Linked DNA regions of Saccharomyces cerevisiae S288C. Changing the gene in region 2 together with the main gene of any one other region gives a genetic interaction. Each region holds a gene or a part of one and is shown on either strand. Other genes may lie near its edges. The genes, in order: PNC1, BNA1, TNA1 and POX1.

Region 1 (3,524 bases), on a different chromosome or scaffold from region 2:
GTAGGGAAACGCAAACGATAATTGATCACGTAAATTATGCAATTGATTTTTTTTCTTGTTAACTGTAATTTGTTTCTTCAAATTTATATCTTGTGAATGAGAAGTCGTAGGGAGAAGAGTTTGCTTGAAATCATCTTTGCTAGGGTAAAACTGAGAAAGCAGCCTTTTGTTTGACAAGTGAAATGTCAACAAAGAATAAATAAGAAGTACGGTTACGACTATTGTTTTTGATTTCCTTGTAGCGATCAGGTGGGACAACTTCCTAGACATGATCTCTTCTTTCTTTTACTTGCTTTCTTTTTCCAAATTGCTATTATTGCTCTTGAAATGAAAACGGAATCAAAGAACTAAAACAACCTATCCCTATTAAATATAAAAGGATGCAGATGGGGAGAGAGAATGTGGATTGGCGAGAAATAATGTCGGTATTCGAAGAAGGCAGAAATACTAAAGTGGCTACCAAGCTACCAAACTACCTTAATGCAGAAGTTTTGACGTTGCTGTCCCTGCAACGTGAAAAGTCCAAAAAGGCGCGTTTAGTTGAGGCCCAGCCAAATCTTTTCGCGGTGGGCCGGCCAAATAGTTTAAGCAATTTACCCAAAAAAGAATAAAGAGAGGCGTAAAGACGTTAGTTAATATTTTATTATTCCTTCTCCATATGTCGGAATTCGGTGTACATACATATATATAGATATTGTTATATAGATTTGTGCATTTGCAAGCCACCCTAGTTCATCAGGTTGAAGAAGTATTATTCAGCTCTTATTTATCCACGACATTGATGTTGTGGGCCTTCAACTCTTCCTTAACCTTATTGATGACTTCGGGATCATCGCTGATGGGTCTTGTGTAATCCAGCAGGACAGTGGTCTTATAACCTAGTTCTGCAGCGGAAATGGCGGTGGCTTTGACACAATACTCCAAAGCTACACCGACAATGTAAACCTCGTCTGTATGATGCTTTTCTAAGTACTTGTTCATGTCGGTCTTATGGAAGTTCCAGATGTCGTGGAAGGCGGAGTAGTATTCACGGTCAGTCAAGAAACCCTTGTCGACAATCTTAATATGCTTAGTGACCACTTGGTCCATTATTTGGTCAACCAATTGACTACCCCAGGTGTTTTTCACACAGTGTACGGGCCACAAAATACCCTCTTGCGTGGAATCATCGCCTGGCCTTGGAGAGTGGTAGGTGTATGTTGAATAGGGTTCTTTATCTTTATGGTTCTTTGCGAACGAAATATGTCTGGAAGGGTGCCAATCTCTGGTGACCACAATCCTGTGCCAGTCTCTATCAGCATCTTGCATCAAATCCGAGATAGGATTGATTAATTCCTCACCTTTTGGAACAGTCAAGGAACCTAAAGGTGAAATAAAATCATTTTGCATATCAACAACAATTAAAGTCTTCATTTTTGTACTGTATTTTATTCTTTCTAACAAAGATATAGATAATCGTAAAAGAAAGTTTTGTTTGAAGGTTTCCTCACCTATTGCATCCAACCAGGTACCAGTTAAGAGTACATTGTATATGAAAATATATATATGAGTAATATATATATATATAGTTTTATTAATAACTATTAGCACATCATAATCGTATCTGGAGACACATACATAGTGGGCCAAACGGAAACCCCTGCCCCTTGAAGAACTTTTTTTTCATAATTCACTTTTCCAGTACGTAACACCACGCGGCGCCCCTTTGTGGGGCCTGCCCCTTTTTTTTTTTCTTTCTTTTTTTTCGGAAACATTCCGCGAGATTTCGGCACGTCCCAAATGATATCGAGCTAACACGTATAAAGCGATAACGTATATAACGACGTATGATTTTAGCAACGGAAGACGTTAACAATGACATATGGATATTTATTTATATATATAATATAAAAATTTCATTACCCTGTGTGCCACCTTGATCCTTGACTTAATATATTTTTTTCTGCTTGGATCTCGGCGGCAGTTTTTTCTGTTTCATATAAGGAGGATCGTAGGGAAAGAGGAAAACAAAAGGCATAATTAACCAATAGCAACAATATAAGCAGTACAGAACCCTCACCACCAGAATGCAGAAGTGTGCTGGCCATGCACCACTGGTGACTGCAGCCTCGCGGGTCTCCCAAGACACCGTAGACGCTCTTTTGCAAGCTATTTTAAAGGCCTACCATAAATTAGCTTCGATCGACAGTCACATTAATGATCCTGTTGAAATAGCCTTCAAGCTCATAAACTCTTTTAAGTATCTGCCAATTTCAGGCTCTTCTGTAAAAGATTTTGAGTCGGAACTGCGGGAGTTAGACGTTTTTTCTCCCCTTTTGCAGTCAGCCGTTACTGCTGCTAATAATAGCAATATCATATGGGACCTTATAGCGGTGTTATTTGCATACATTTCCATCCATAAACAGCTCCATCCTTTGATCCTGCACAATCTGAACATATGGAAGGATTTTATGGCAGATAATGACGAAGAAACGGCGACAACCACGGACGGGGACTCAATGAATTTCGGCGTACTGTCGCTTCTTTCCATTGTTCAAAATTTTGAAGAAATAACGCCAAATCTATTTGAGTTTCTAAAGCTCGGTTTGAGATCCACTTTACTCAAGATATGGGTAGCACAATGGCAAAGATACGATCCTTCGGCAACGAACTTAATCAACGGTGATGAGAAAATTTCTAGCTGGATAACAAAGGATTACCAGGTGGATTTTTTTATCATCACTTCATTAGCATCAACGTCCTCATTAGAAGTTTTGCCATCTCATTATTTTGTGTACAAGATCTCTAAAAGGATCTCTCACTTCCCAAATTTAATTGATCCTAAACTATATCGATCTGCAATTTCTACAATAATGGAAAATGGGATTTCAGACAATGGTGGTGGTGAGAACTCCAGCGACAAAATTGATCCGACTGATTTGTCCTTTCACTTACAAGTTTTAATGGAAGTTATTGACCATCCTGAGTTGAATTATTTGCAGGAAAATCGATTAATTTTGTTGCTCGACATTGCATTAAATTATTTAATCCTGGTTCCTACTCACTGTTTACATTCAAACTTTGGTGAATTGGGCTCTACTCAAAGTTTAGCATCCACTTTAAATATCATTCAGTTCCTTCTATCGAAATTCTTAATCAACATGGGCAGTATTTCGCAATTAATTAATCAATACAACAGGAAATGCATCACTACTAATAACATCAATAATAACAACATTAACAACAATGGCGTTATTAATGGTAGTACTAACACCACTAGTACTACTACTACTACCATCACTAATAACAATAATAATAGCAATAATAGCAGTATTAGTAATAATAACAGAAAAATAGACTGGACGCAATCATATCAAACGAGGTACCAAATTCCATACTGGTTTGAGGACTCAATTTTGCCACCAATTCCGCCTATTTCGAAATCGCTTTTCACTTTTGACAAGAACCTAGACCATGAGTCGGATTCAATTATGATTGTAAATGATGTATTACGCTGTTTGAATTTAACCATTCTTTTAATTTCT
Region 2 (3,482 bases):
AATCATACAATAAATTTAAGCATTAACCCGTCACGGACTGGCCATCTTCAGATGCTTCTTCTCTTCGCCAATGCCACAGTCGGGAGGAATCCCCATTTGGTACATCTTTATGGCCAGCTCCATCAAATAATCGATGGCTTCGTTGAAAATTTTGGCCTTATCGATTGTCGGACCCCAAACAAAAATGCCATGTCTCCTCACAATTACGGCGCATGTGTCTGGATAATCTTTAAAAGTCTTGTGCAAGTCATCGATCAACTCGTCCTCATGCGCCATGTTTTCAATGATGGGAATCTTCAGCGTATCAAAAAACGATAGCGCCATGGGTTTCTTGGTCACAGGGTCCACCTTTCCGCTTGGAATTGCTTTGATTTGTTCGATGTTAGCAATCCTGAACTCATCGCCAAATAGCAAGGAGCATATCACAGCATTTTGGGAGTGTGTATGTATTATAGCACCTGCATTTTTCTTTTGGTAGCACGCTAAGAACAATGGAGTACATGCGCTTGGCTTGTAAAGCTTGGGAGAGCGCAAATACTCTAATGTCTGAGCGTCCATGACAAACAAATCCTCAGGTATCATCTTCTCCTTCTGCACCCCAGATGGGGCGAGATAATAATAATTCGTGTTAGGATCTTTTATTGAAATCCCACCTCCAGTTCCGGTGCACCAATTATTATGAAAAAACTGCTTGCATAGCGTGCAAATGAGATTTGCTGGATGGCACGGATCATCTGAATGTATCAGAACATCTTGTGAAGACATAGTCGTTCACTGGCTCCCCTTGTTAGTTCAGTGCTTAAAAACGTTACATATCTTGATGAACAGCTAGCTGCTTTGATCAAGAGAAAAAAAAAAAAAATTGGCACCGCATCTTAGTGCCGCAATCTTACGTAACAAGAGAGCTATAAAAGTACAACTAACAACTCTTCTAATACTTAATTAGATTGAGGGCGTGCGTAGTTTAACGTCTTGCAATGGAAACATGTCCTCTTTTCGACATCATTTTCAAAATCTAAAATGGCTTCTTTCACTTGGGTACCTAAGTCTAACATTTGCAGTTCACTCTCGTGGACCACTTGGCGACAATGAGAACAGTACCACCTTATCTTATCGTTTTCTCCCCCAGGCCTATCTTGTTCCACAACAATACCCACAGTATCAGCAAACCGAACAGGACTGTGAGGAACATTTCCTGGCAATAAATATGAATCGCCTTCATTGATGATGATATCAATGAACTTTGGTTCAGCGTCTGTCTCATCCACAACCTTTAAAAGCATAGATCCTTTTTTTTGATAGAACCATTCGGGAGTTGGATTGATGTGATAACCGGTTCTTTCATTAGGCCCACCGACAATCATCACAGTGAATCCCCCTTTATGTAAGCAATAATTATTCACCGGTGGTTTCAAAAGGCCTTCGTTCTCCTTCAACCATTTGTCGATATTAATTGGTGTAGTATTAAACATTTTTTTCGATTTTTTTGGTAAATGTATGCTATTTCAGTTACTTGTAGACTGTCGTGAAAAGAATAAAGAAAGAATCTTTTACGTCCGTTTTTTTACTTTGCCGAATATGTTTCAGTGACTCACAATTTATCCTGACGCCGTCACAAAGGCAGCCATTCCATTGCAATAACGACACTCTGAATATTCACGAACGTTCACCAGACATTTGGAGGCAGCGTTCTAAATGCCGATACCCGTTCAGGAGTACAGGTGTCAGTGACAGAAAAATAATGGCACCGTTGACGTCGAAAATACATCCGCGCAAATTTTGACAGGCTATTTTGGCAGCGCAATCAAAGAATAAACTTGGTATAGTAAGGAAGCCAGTTACTGTACGCATGAATTACGGTAGCTTTTTTTATTTTATTTATTTTTTTTTTTTTTGGACAAATAGAAAAATTTTTATTATTATGTAAGATTATTGAAGTAAAAATACAATTGGACGAATCTAGTTAGATTGCCAAGATGTGTTAAAAGGCAAGATTAACTTATGAACATGATCTACAACGTCCTGGTTTTTAAATTCGAGTAAATACGCCTCCTTTTTATCTGTGAATGACAGTCCTGTTCTCCCAAGTCTTTTTACATCATGGAGACGGGAGTTATACTCTCTCGGGTACAAGGTTCCTTCAGCATCAGAACAGATCACAAACTTTATCGCAACAACAATTCCTTTATATTCCTGGGAAAATATGTCGGTATAGCCTACTCGAGACGGCTTCCAAACATCAGCTTTCGTTTTAACATGTTGCTGTTGGAATAAAAATCCACTATCGTCTATCAACTAATAGTTATATTATCAATATATTATCATATACGGTGTTAAGATGATGACATAAGTTATGAGAAGCTGTCATCGAAGTTAGAGGAAGCTGAAACGCAAGGATTGATAATGTAATAGGATCAATGAATATAAACATATAAAACGGAATGAGGAATAATCGTAATATTAGTATGTAGAAATATAGATTCCATTTTGAGGATTCCTATATCCTCGAGGAGAACTTCTAGTATATTCTGTATACCTAATATTATAGCCTTTATCAACAATGGAATCCCAACAATTATCTCAACATTCACATATTTCTCATGGTAGCGCCTGTGCTTCGGTTACTTCTAAGGAAGTCCACACAAATCAAGATCCGTTAGACGTTTCAGCTTCCAAAACAGAAGAATGTGAGAAGGCTTCCACTAAGGCTAACTCTCAACAGACAACAACACCTGCTTCATCAGCTGTTCCAGAGAACCCCCATCATGCCTCTCCTCAACCTGCTTCAGTACCACCTCCACAGAATGGGCCGTACCCACAGCAGTGCATGATGACCCAAAACCAAGCCAATCCATCTGGTTGGTCATTTTACGGACACCCATCTATGATTCCGTATACACCTTATCAAATGTCGCCTATGTACTTTCCACCTGGGCCACAATCACAGTTTCCGCAGTATCCATCATCAGTTGGAACGCCTCTGAGCACTCCATCACCTGAGTCAGGTAATACATTTACTGATTCATCCTCAGCGGACTCTGATATGACATCCACTAAAAAATATGTCAGACCACCACCAATGTTAACCTCACCTAATGACTTTCCAAATTGGGTTAAAACATACATCAAATTTTTACAAAACTCGAATCTCGGTGGTATTATTCCGACAGTAAACGGAAAACCCGTACGTCAGATCACTGATGATGAACTCACCTTCTTGTATAACACTTTTCAAATATTTGCTCCCTCTCAATTCCTACCTACCTGGGTCAAAGACATCCTATCCGTTGATTATACGGATATCATGAAAATTCTTTCCAAAAGTATTGAAAAAATGCAATCTGATACCCAAGAGGCAAACGACATTGTGACCCTGGCAAATTTGCAATATAATGGCAGTACACCTGCAGATGCATTTGAAACAAAAGTCACAAACATTATCGACAGACTGAACAATAATGGCATTCATATCAATAACAAGG
Region 3 (4,657 bases), on a different chromosome or scaffold from region 2:
GAGACAGGTAACGATATTAGAGAAGGCGCAGAATTGAAAGACTATAACAAATACAAAAAAAGTTTTTCATCGCAGTCTTTTATTACCAACAACTCAGCAAGATCTTTCACATCTAGCTCCAACGCAAAATTGACTGGGATCAATGACGGCGATAGCAATAGCATCTCAGGTAAAGGTAACGTAAACACCTTCACATCTCAAAACGGGAAGAAATATCGTTTGCAAAGCCTGGACGAGTTTTTTTCCGACATTCCAGAAAGGAAGAGTAAACCAAGGAAAATTATAAAGGTGGTGGAAGAAAGCAGTGACGAGGATGAAGACGAATCGGAAGAGAGCAGTGACGATGATGAGTATAGTGACTCTTCTTTGGGAACGTCTTCTTCGGGAACGTCTTCTTCGCATCTGGAGCTTTAGAACTCGGAGATAATACTATATAAATATGTATATTTATAGATATAGATATAGGCATGTATATCTTCCCAGTAATATACGTGTTTGGGACGAAAACAAAAGAGAAGTTGGTAAACAAAGTTTCATGTGAATTTGCTTAGTACAAAAATACATACAAATATAAAAGAAAAGTTACAAATTGCAAACACACTCATAACGAGGGGCAAAAAAAGTGGAGGGTGAAGAAAGTCAAGCCTAATACATGTACTTAAACTCAGGGTTTTTGTCGCTTAACCTTTCGTCGTATGGAATAGGCTCTCCCAATTCATTACAGCGATCTATTATTGCTTTCTTTTTATCGTTTTCCCTCTTGTATAGGAAAATTTGCACAACCGTCATAAATATGGAGAAGACTTGAAAGGCCAGACTAATCGACAGCCCTTTGATATATCTTGGCTTGTCTTTGGCAACAAAAATTTGACCAGAGACCAACCCTGAACCAGACCCGAAAAATAGATTAATTCCTAAAGCGGTGGCTCTCTTGAAGTAATTACCAGTGTTACCACTTAACCATAAACAGTTACAGGCAGCATTAACGTAAATACCCATACAAAGAATGTAAACGCCAAAATATCTCACACCATGAACTTGAGAACCAAGGACGATAGCTATGCCTATCGAAGTCGTCAGACAAGCACCCAGGATGAATGGAGATCTCAACTTTATACGATCAGACCAAACGGCACAAATGAAGAACACAATTGCTGTAAGGAAATAGATGGGCACGGTCATTAATTGAGCTCTGACATTAGTGAACCCCATACTGGTAATGATGATCGGCAAGAAGACTGTTAGACCAAAAGTAGTCAAATCGATACCGAATAATGCCACAGCACTAGCCCAAGTCTTGACATCCTTAACTGCTTGCCACACTTGGAACCATTCAAATTTTTCGTCCGGGTCAAAAGTGTTCATAGTCTTGTATCTTTCGGAAATGTACTCTTTTTCCTCCTTATTGAAAAACCACGAATCCTCCAAATTTTTGCTCAACCCGAAGGCATAGAATGGTACGAACCCCAAAGAGATACAACCTTCGACAATGTAAATGTATTGCCAGTCCTTTAGAGAACCGCTGATTTTGGAACAACCATAAGCAATCAGCCCACCAAAAGATGAAGACAAACAGGCTGCACTGAAGACAAAAGCGAACCTCAGAGCATATTGTTCTCTTCTATAGCAGACTGAAAGGTACATGTTAATAGCGGGATAAATCATACCTTCAAAGGCACCCAGTAGTAGTCTGACAACGATCAATTGAGCATAATTCTTAACCCAAGCAGTTCCGAGCGAAATAGCACCGAAACAGGTCAAACAGATACTCATCATTAATGGCGGACCCATAATTTTCAGAAGGTTAGTACCTATGGGGTCGAAAAGAACATACGTCGCGAAAAAAACTGTGACACATGTGTTATATTGCGTTCCTACAAGGTGGATATCCTTGGATAGACCTGCAACTTCTGCGTTACCAATATTCGATTTATCCAGGTTAGAAAGGAAATATAGCATCCCCATAAGAGGAATCAAGTATATATCCATTTTGCGCAAGACACGCTTTTCCATTGGATGGGAAGGGGAGGGGATGCCGTCATCATCCGTGGTAGTAGCCATAATTTCCCGTTCGGTGGCAAGTTCCGACTTCTTGTCATGGCTGCGATTATGCAAGCTAGCGTCATGGCCTTCATCTTCCTGGAACGTGACTTCCGTAGGCTTTTCTTCTGATCCATCATTGGTGGGTGATATGAAAAGCACATCATCCACCAAATGCTTAGGTGACTCCATTGTAAATTTGTTGCTCATCTAGAGGTAATGACAATAGTTCAATGCTCGAAAGTGAAGAAATATTTCTTTTTTTTTTTATATAAGCCTTCTGCGCAGTCGTTTTTTTTTCAGTCGCTGTCTCACGGGGGAAAATAGTTTGAAAAAGGCGAAGAGGGGGAAAACTGTGATGTGAATACGACTTCTAAGACAGTAAATATGGACGTATGCTTATAGCTTGGAGAGTTAGTTAATATAGAGAAATATAAATAGTAGATAAGAAGTACATATGAAACAAAAAAAAAATGGCAATAAAATAACAAAAGGATCTCGAGTAGGAACATACTTCAAAGAAAGGAAAACTCATGGTTTATATATTATCCAGAATTTTTAACGTAATCGGAGATGCGACAGATATTTCAGGGTGTATGGATGAGGTCAAAACAATACTAATCACACACGCCGCGAAGCCTTCGACGGTTCGTAACCTGTCCTCATGTGTGACGCATAGGATTCTACGGTAGATCCCGAGTATGCCCGGCTGTGATTGGTAACTATGATTGCGAGTAATAAGCGATCCGGCGTCCGGTGGTATTTTCTATTTTGTTGGTGCGACCGCTTCTTCGCAGAGAATGGGTGACTTGTAAAAGGAGAGAGACACTGGAAAAACCAACAGAATACGAGCAGGAAACTAGAAAATAAAAAACTAAAAAAAAAAAAAAACAAAAAGGAAAGGAAAAATTAGTAGAAGCCGGCGACGATTGCAGAATCCAGAGGGATACCGCTGTAACAGAGAATACGGGCACCCAGACAAGTGACTGGCGCCAGACTTTGTTATTTCACCTGGACCCGAATAATAATATTAAATAGTGATAATAATAATAACATATAGCATAAATAATAATGTACAAAATAATAATAATAAATAAATAAATGGTTCACCATGGACTGTACAGGCGTTCCGGAACGCACATAGTGACAGTACAAGACCTGGTTGTGTGCCATAATGGCCGGCATGTGAAATCGCGGCTTCTGTATATGTACATATCTGTTCTTTTACCATGTCGTCCATTTTCCGTTCACTTTAGCCAACACGGCGACGTTGTGCGGAATTGATTTGAAGTCGATTTTTTCTATGGAGTATTCCCAAACTGCCCCCAAATTTTGCAAATTAGTGCGCGGGGTGAATGGGTGCGTCAGAGCATTTACTGACACCTGGCGGCATAAGCAGCGACGTATCGTGTCCAAGGCAGGCCATAGCAAGAGCGTTTGTGATTGATTTTCAAGGCGCAGATACCATTGGAACACAGTAGCGCAGAAGGTACTCCTCAAAAGAGACAGAGAGAGAAATCAGAGTCAGGGAGCTTAGTAGCTGCTGTTACCAATATTATACAATAAGTAAGGTTTGCATATGCGGAAACTTCGCACTTGAATTTTTTTTTTTTTCTTTTTTGGTAGCTTTTTGATGTTTCCAGAGGATGTGAGTCAATGAGTGGTGTGACCCCAATACCACATTTTGTTGCTGTTTTTTTTTTTTCATTGTTAATTATCACTATTTTTTTTTCTTTCTAGTATAACCCATTCGAACCTCCGTGGAGGCATTAAAAGGGAGAGTGAAAAAAAAAAAAAGAAAAGAAAAAGAAAAGATGCCGCCACATATAGAGACCTTAAAGGGATTGAAAAACTGTACGTAAATCATTGAAGGTTCTACACGTCATCCATGAAGAAAAGCATTTTCGGGAGAACGCCAAACTTCAGACATGGGTGTGCATTCATTTTGGGATATTGCAGGTCCTACGGCAAGACCGGTCAGGCTGGAATCCTTGGAAGATAAGAGAATGGCAGTAGATGCCTCCATTTGGATATATCAGTTTTTGAAAGCTGTCCGTGATCAGGAGGGGAATGCAGTGAAGAATTCTCATATTACTGGGTTCTTTAGAAGAATTTGTAAGCTATTATACTTTGGCATTAGGCCGGTATTCGTCTTTGATGGTGGTGTGCCCGTATTGAAAAGGGAAACAATACGGCAGAGGAAAGAAAGAAGACAGGGAAAACGAGAGAGTGCGAAATCCACCGCTAGGAAGCTGCTGGCTTTACAATTGCAAAACGGCTCAAACGATAACGTAAAAAACTCTACACCGAGTAGTGGCAGTAGTGTGCAGATCTTCAAACCTCAGGACGAGTGGGACTTGCCCGATATACCGGGATTCAAATACGATAAGGAAGATGCAAGAGTTAACTCTAATAAAACTTTTGAAAAACTGATGAATTCGATAAACGGTGATGGACTGGAAGACATTGATTTAGACACTATAAATCCAGCATCGGCCGAATTTGAAGAGCTGCCAAAGGCCACACAGTATTTGATATTATCGTCGTTGAGGTTGAAATCAAGACTGAGGATGGGATACTCGAAAGAACAATTGGAGACCATCTTCCCAAATAGTAT
Region 4 (5,091 bases), on a different chromosome or scaffold from region 2:
ATACTAAATAAGAGAGGTATATAAAACACACGCCGATTGGTCATATTAATCATGACCAATATAATAGTGATTCCGGTAGTTACTATACATTGATGTGACGACTCATATTCCTCATATATGTACCTACCATATCATGTTCAGCTAATAGGTCTTTAACACAGCTTCAGTATTGTCTGAGCTTCTCGTTTAACATTCCTTCTGCAATAGGCGCAATCACACTTAAACGTATACGATGTGTACATTAATATACGATGTAAGCATTAGATTGTTACCATAGCAACTCATGTCACTATTAATTACTCTCGTTCCAACATATTGCCTTATTAAAAATGGAATCCCAACAATTACATCAGAATCCACACAATCATCATGATGTTTTAGAGCTTCATTCCAACAAGTGCCAACACAGCACATTTATTATTTGTTATGTATATAATTCTGAGATATTGAGTAAACACTCAATAATTACCTGCCATCTTAGTATAGTGGTTAGTACACATCGTTGTGGCCGATGAAACCCTGGTTCGATTCTAGGAGATGGCAATTTTTTTACTACTATACATTGGTAAATGTAGTCATGTCATTGATTCGTCATAGTTATGTGAATAGTATTAGATATGTAAATAGATAGAGAGTACCGTTATGCACATAAGATGGCCTCTCACTAGGATTTTGTAACTTTTTGTTAAAACTTGGCGACACTAGTTGAATTGAAACAAAAGTCGCAAAACAGAGGGTTCGAAGGAAAACAGGAAACCTCTACTCACTTGTTTATTTTCGATAAAATTTCCGCATTAGCTGCACCACCTAACTTTTGGTCAAATTCGAAACCTCTACCGAGCATGCTGCTCAACAGCGCATGATAAGAAGGCTTCCCTGCCCCATCTGCCTCCACTGGATTATTGCGGCAAACTTCATTGAAGTAATTGTGATAGATATCGCCATCAAAGTAACCTATAGGAGAATTTAACATCGCGTCAGGTAATTCAAAGGAGTCTGTCAGACCTATACAGTCTTTCCTCACAATTGGCAAAAGAGCCAATAGTTGTGGCTGCACAACTTTAGAGATCTGATCAGGAGTGAAGATCTTGAATTGTTGGAATTCTCCGGAATGCTTGTCAATAAAATACAAGGAAAATAACTTATAAACATTCCACATAGATTCCTTTGTAATTTCATCGGAAATATGTGAATCACGAGAGTTTAACTTGTCGTAATAGGTTTTCAACATGCAGCGCAAGGCATGAAATTTGGATACTAAGACTAAAAGCTTAGAAACGCTATCAATACTTCTTGATTTTTCAACTAAAGTACCAATATGTGCCAGTAATTTGATTAAGGTGATAGACCAAATTTCAGTATAATCACCCAACTCCTTTAAACCACTCTTTATTTCTCCAGAAACCACAGATCCTATGTACTGAGGTTTTAAGTAAGAGAATGAGTCCACATCCAGTGTGTTGTCAAATCTACCCTTTGTGGCTGAATCGATAAATTTTTTCAATATTGATTTTGCTGAAGTTAAAGATAAAACATTATTATCACCCTCCCATGTGCACTGAACCACCCAGTCGTCATAGCCTTTACCAAATCCGTTATACTGTGAATACCCATGTCCTCCGCAAGTCTGTCTCAACTCATCAATCAGTGTAGCAATTAACCAAGTATTGGTGGCTTTCAAGCTGGCGCTATCAATAAATAAATTCTTCAACTTTTTACTCACGGTAACCAGAGCAGCTTTGTATGCAGATGAGGAAGCGTTGTATAACTCGTCCAAAGTGGAATAATAGTTGTCCATTAACTTAAAAGCTACAGGTGACACCAAATATGGAACACACAATTGTGGTAAAACACGATATTGGTGAAGGGGATAGTCGATTAATTGTGTTTCAGACAATCCCTTTCTAGGTGCGAATTGCTGACGACCAACCGCGTAACGTACAGCAATAGTAGCAAATTTGGAGCCAAACCTAAATGAATCCATGACCATGTTAACTCTACCACTTAACAATGCACTATAACCAGAAATTTGATCCAATTGTGGCTCAGTTTTGACGGTGACTGAACCATCTGGAGAACGGACAACTTTGGTAAATCTACTTAGCATAAATTCTCTAGGGATAACTACGTTTCTGAACTGGATCCAGCCATTATCAATACCGTCACGACCCATCTTCGCTCCAATATCCCCTATGGAAACACCAGCTAACAGTTGGAAAGTCGAAGGGTCTCTCAGAGGAACAACGAATGTTTTTACACCGTAGTCTTTACCTTCAACGATCAATCTGGCGTACACGGCAGCGTGCGTGGCAGAATGGGCAGCCCCACCAATCCACCATTTGGTGGCAGTTAGATCAGGTGTATCAATTACAAAAGTATCATTTTGCTTATCGTACACAGCCCTAGTCTGCAGCTGGGCAACATTGGAACCATGTCCTAACTCAGTCATTGCAAAACAGCCATATATACCTTTCATCAAAGTGGCACCTCTCTCCTGCAACCAATACCGGATTTGCTCATCAGTACCATTGCCCTTGATACAATTACCAAATAGCCCCAAGTGTACACCCACGCGCGTACCCAATTGAGGATCAATATTTGCTACAAGTGACAATCTCTTATCGAATATAAAAAGGTCTTTGTTTGTTAAAGGCGAAGCTTTGTCTGGATCATTTGCTTGCAACTCTTTCATCAGGTCAGTGTCGCGAAAGTGTTTGCGCACTGTTTTGATATCGTGCTCCATATAACTAGCAAGCCTAGCTATTTTTTTGGCAGTAATTTCTCTCTCTTGCATTTTTTTAGCATCGTAATAGTCCGTATCAGTTTTCAATATAGGATCATTCACTATTTGGTCTATTAAGGCGTGCGTCAGAGTTCTCCTCTCCGGGGATGACTCTAAAAATGTGTTAACTTGGTCAACTTTGATTTTCGAATCCGCCCTTTCTTTCTGGATAAATTTTTGAGGATTCAGAACCACCGAATCGGGATTAATAGTAGTACGTCTCGTCATATCGCAATACTAATTTATTATATTTTCTTTTTTTCTGTGATACTTATTAGTGTCAAGTGTGTATTCAAAAACGGAGAGCAATATTAGTGATGATGAGCGGAATGAGGAAAACTTTAAGGCCTGTTCAAGTTGTTTAAATAATTTTTACAGGTTAGACCTTTATAAACACTCTTAAAGCCCCAATGTATTAGTGCTTTGACTTAACAACGCCAACGTTCTCTTGTGTACTTGCTTGTAGGTGATTTACCCCAACGGCTATTAGCCGCTAATGACCGAATTCCTTTCGCTTCGGAGTTTAATCAACTAATACCGTAAATATAGGGCTTAAAATGTGTCAGGGTTTGAACGCAAAAAAAGGAGGTTTATAATAAAATATTAGCACATTATAGGTTTTAAAGTTAAAAAATAATAGGGTTAATTTTATTACCCTACCCCCTTTTTTTGGTCGAGATCTCGCATTTTTCGTCGCTAGGAATAAATACAAAGAGAATTAAGAAAAGTAAAAAGTGGAACTGAAGGAATCTACAGAAATAAGGAGATATTTTGATTAGTTGTTCAGAGTAACTTATTGAAACCTCGACAATCCGGATCAGAGTTGAGAGAGAAAGAAGATATTCAACTATAAAAATAAATTATCACGAAAGTTCTAACCAATGAGTGACCTACCCATTGAATTTACCGAATTGGTCGATCTGATGTCCTTAGGAATTTCCCCTCAATTCCTTGACTTCAGATCAACTACTTTCGAGAGTGACCACTTCGTCACTGTTAGAGAAACAAAGGACGGTACAAACTCTGTTGCAATCGTGGATTTGGCCAAAGGCAATGAAGTGACAAGGAAGAATATGGGCGGTGATTCTGCTATCATGCATCCATCTCAGATGGTTATTTCCGTTAGAGCAAATGGTACTATCGTGCAGATATTTAATTTGGAAACTAAGAGCAAGTTAAAGTCTTTTACTTTAGATGAACCTGTTATTTTTTGGAGGTGGTTGAGTGAAACCACTTTGGGTTTTGTTACCGCAAGATCCATACTGACCTCGAACGTCTTTGATGGTAACGTAAATGCTAAGCCTCAATTGCTTACCTTGAGACACGCTAACTTGAACAATACCCAAATTATCAATTTTGTGGCTAACAAAAACCTTGACTGGTTCGCAGTTGTTGGTATCTTACAAGAAAATGGCCGTATTGCCGGTAGAATTCAATTATTCTCAAAACAACGTAACATCTCCCAAGCTATCGACGGTCATGTTGCTATCTTTACGAATATATTACTAGAGGGTAATGGCTCGACCCCGGTACAAGTTTTCGTTACTGGTAACAGAAATGCCACCACCGGTGCTGGAGAATTAAGAATTATCGAGATTGATCACGATGCTTCATTGCCTTCTCAATATCAAAAGGAAACTACCGATATTTTCTTTCCACCAGATGCAACGAATGATTTCCCAATCGCTGTTCAGGTGTCTGAGAAATACGGCATAATTTACCTATTAACCAAGTATGGCTTCATCCATTTGTACGAATTGGAAACCGGTACCAATTTATTCGTTAATAGAATTACAGCAGAATCTGTTTTTACTGCAGCTCCGTACAATCACGAGAACGGTATTGCATGCATCAATAAAAAAGGTCAAGTTTTAGCAGTAGAGATTTCTACTTCTCAAATCGTTCCATATATCTTGAATAAATTATCTAATGTGGCACTGGCCTTAATCGTTGCTACAAGAGGTGGCTTACCAGGTGCAGATGATTTATTTCAAAAACAGTTTGAATCTTTATTGTTACAAAACGATTATCAAAATGCAGCTAAAGTTGCAGCCTCTTCCACTTCTTTAAGGAACCAAAACACCATCAACAGGTTGAAAAACATTCAAGCACCACCAGGCGCCATTTCTCCTATCCTACTTTACTTTTCAACACTATTGGATAAAGGGAAATTGAATAAAGAGGAAACAATTGAATTGGCTAGACCAGTTCTACAACAAGACAGAAAACAATTGTTCGAAAAATGGTTAAAGGAAGATAAACTAGAATGTTCAGAAGAACTAGGTGACATCGTTAAGCCTTTCGATACT

Evidence for each region.
Region 1: mutations in BNA1 (region 2) and PNC1 are lethal when combined (synthetic lethality), as found in Saccharomyces cerevisiae (one study listed by BioGRID).
Region 3: mutations in BNA1 (region 2) and TNA1 together harm fitness more than expected from each alone (negative genetic interaction), as found in Saccharomyces cerevisiae (2 studies listed by BioGRID).
Region 4: mutations in BNA1 (region 2) and POX1 together harm fitness more than expected from each alone (negative genetic interaction), as found in Saccharomyces cerevisiae (2 studies listed by BioGRID).

Annotation. Positions count from the first base shown.
Region 1 is NC_001139.9:426,535-430,058, forward strand, and holds PNC1 (nicotinamidase), read right to left. Parts: upstream 1,414-3,524; coding exon 763-1,413; downstream 1-762. Other genes in the region: OCH1 (initiation-specific alpha-1,6-mannosyltransferase), read right to left, coding at 1-270; VIR1 (Vir1p), read left to right, coding at 2,067-3,524. UniProt on the Saccharomyces cerevisiae protein: Catalyzes the deamidation of nicotinamide, an early step in the NAD(+) salvage pathway. Positively regulates SIR2-mediated silencing and longevity by preventing the accumulation of intracellular nicotinamide, an inhibitor of SIR2, during times of stress.
Region 2 is NC_001142.9:470,200-473,681, forward strand, and holds BNA1 (3-hydroxyanthranilate 3,4-dioxygenase), read right to left. Parts: upstream 1,473-3,482; coding exon 939-1,472; downstream 1-938. Other genes in the region: methylthioribulose 1-phosphate dehydratase MDE1, read right to left, coding at 31-765; YJR026W (gag protein), read left to right, coding at 2,561-3,482.
Region 3 is NC_001139.9:1,010,078-1,014,734, reverse strand, and holds TNA1 (Tna1p), read right to left. Parts: upstream 2,251-4,657; coding exon 646-2,250; downstream 1-645. Other genes in the region: APL6 (AP-3 complex subunit beta), read left to right, coding at 1-414; ssDNA endodeoxyribonuclease RAD2, read left to right, coding at 3,969-4,657. UniProt on the Saccharomyces cerevisiae protein: Involved in the uptake of nicotinic acid.
Region 4 is NC_001139.9:106,077-111,167, reverse strand, and holds POX1 (acyl-CoA oxidase), read right to left. Parts: upstream 3,011-5,091; coding exon 764-3,010; downstream 1-763. Other genes in the region: CHC1 (clathrin heavy chain), read left to right, coding at 3,664-5,091.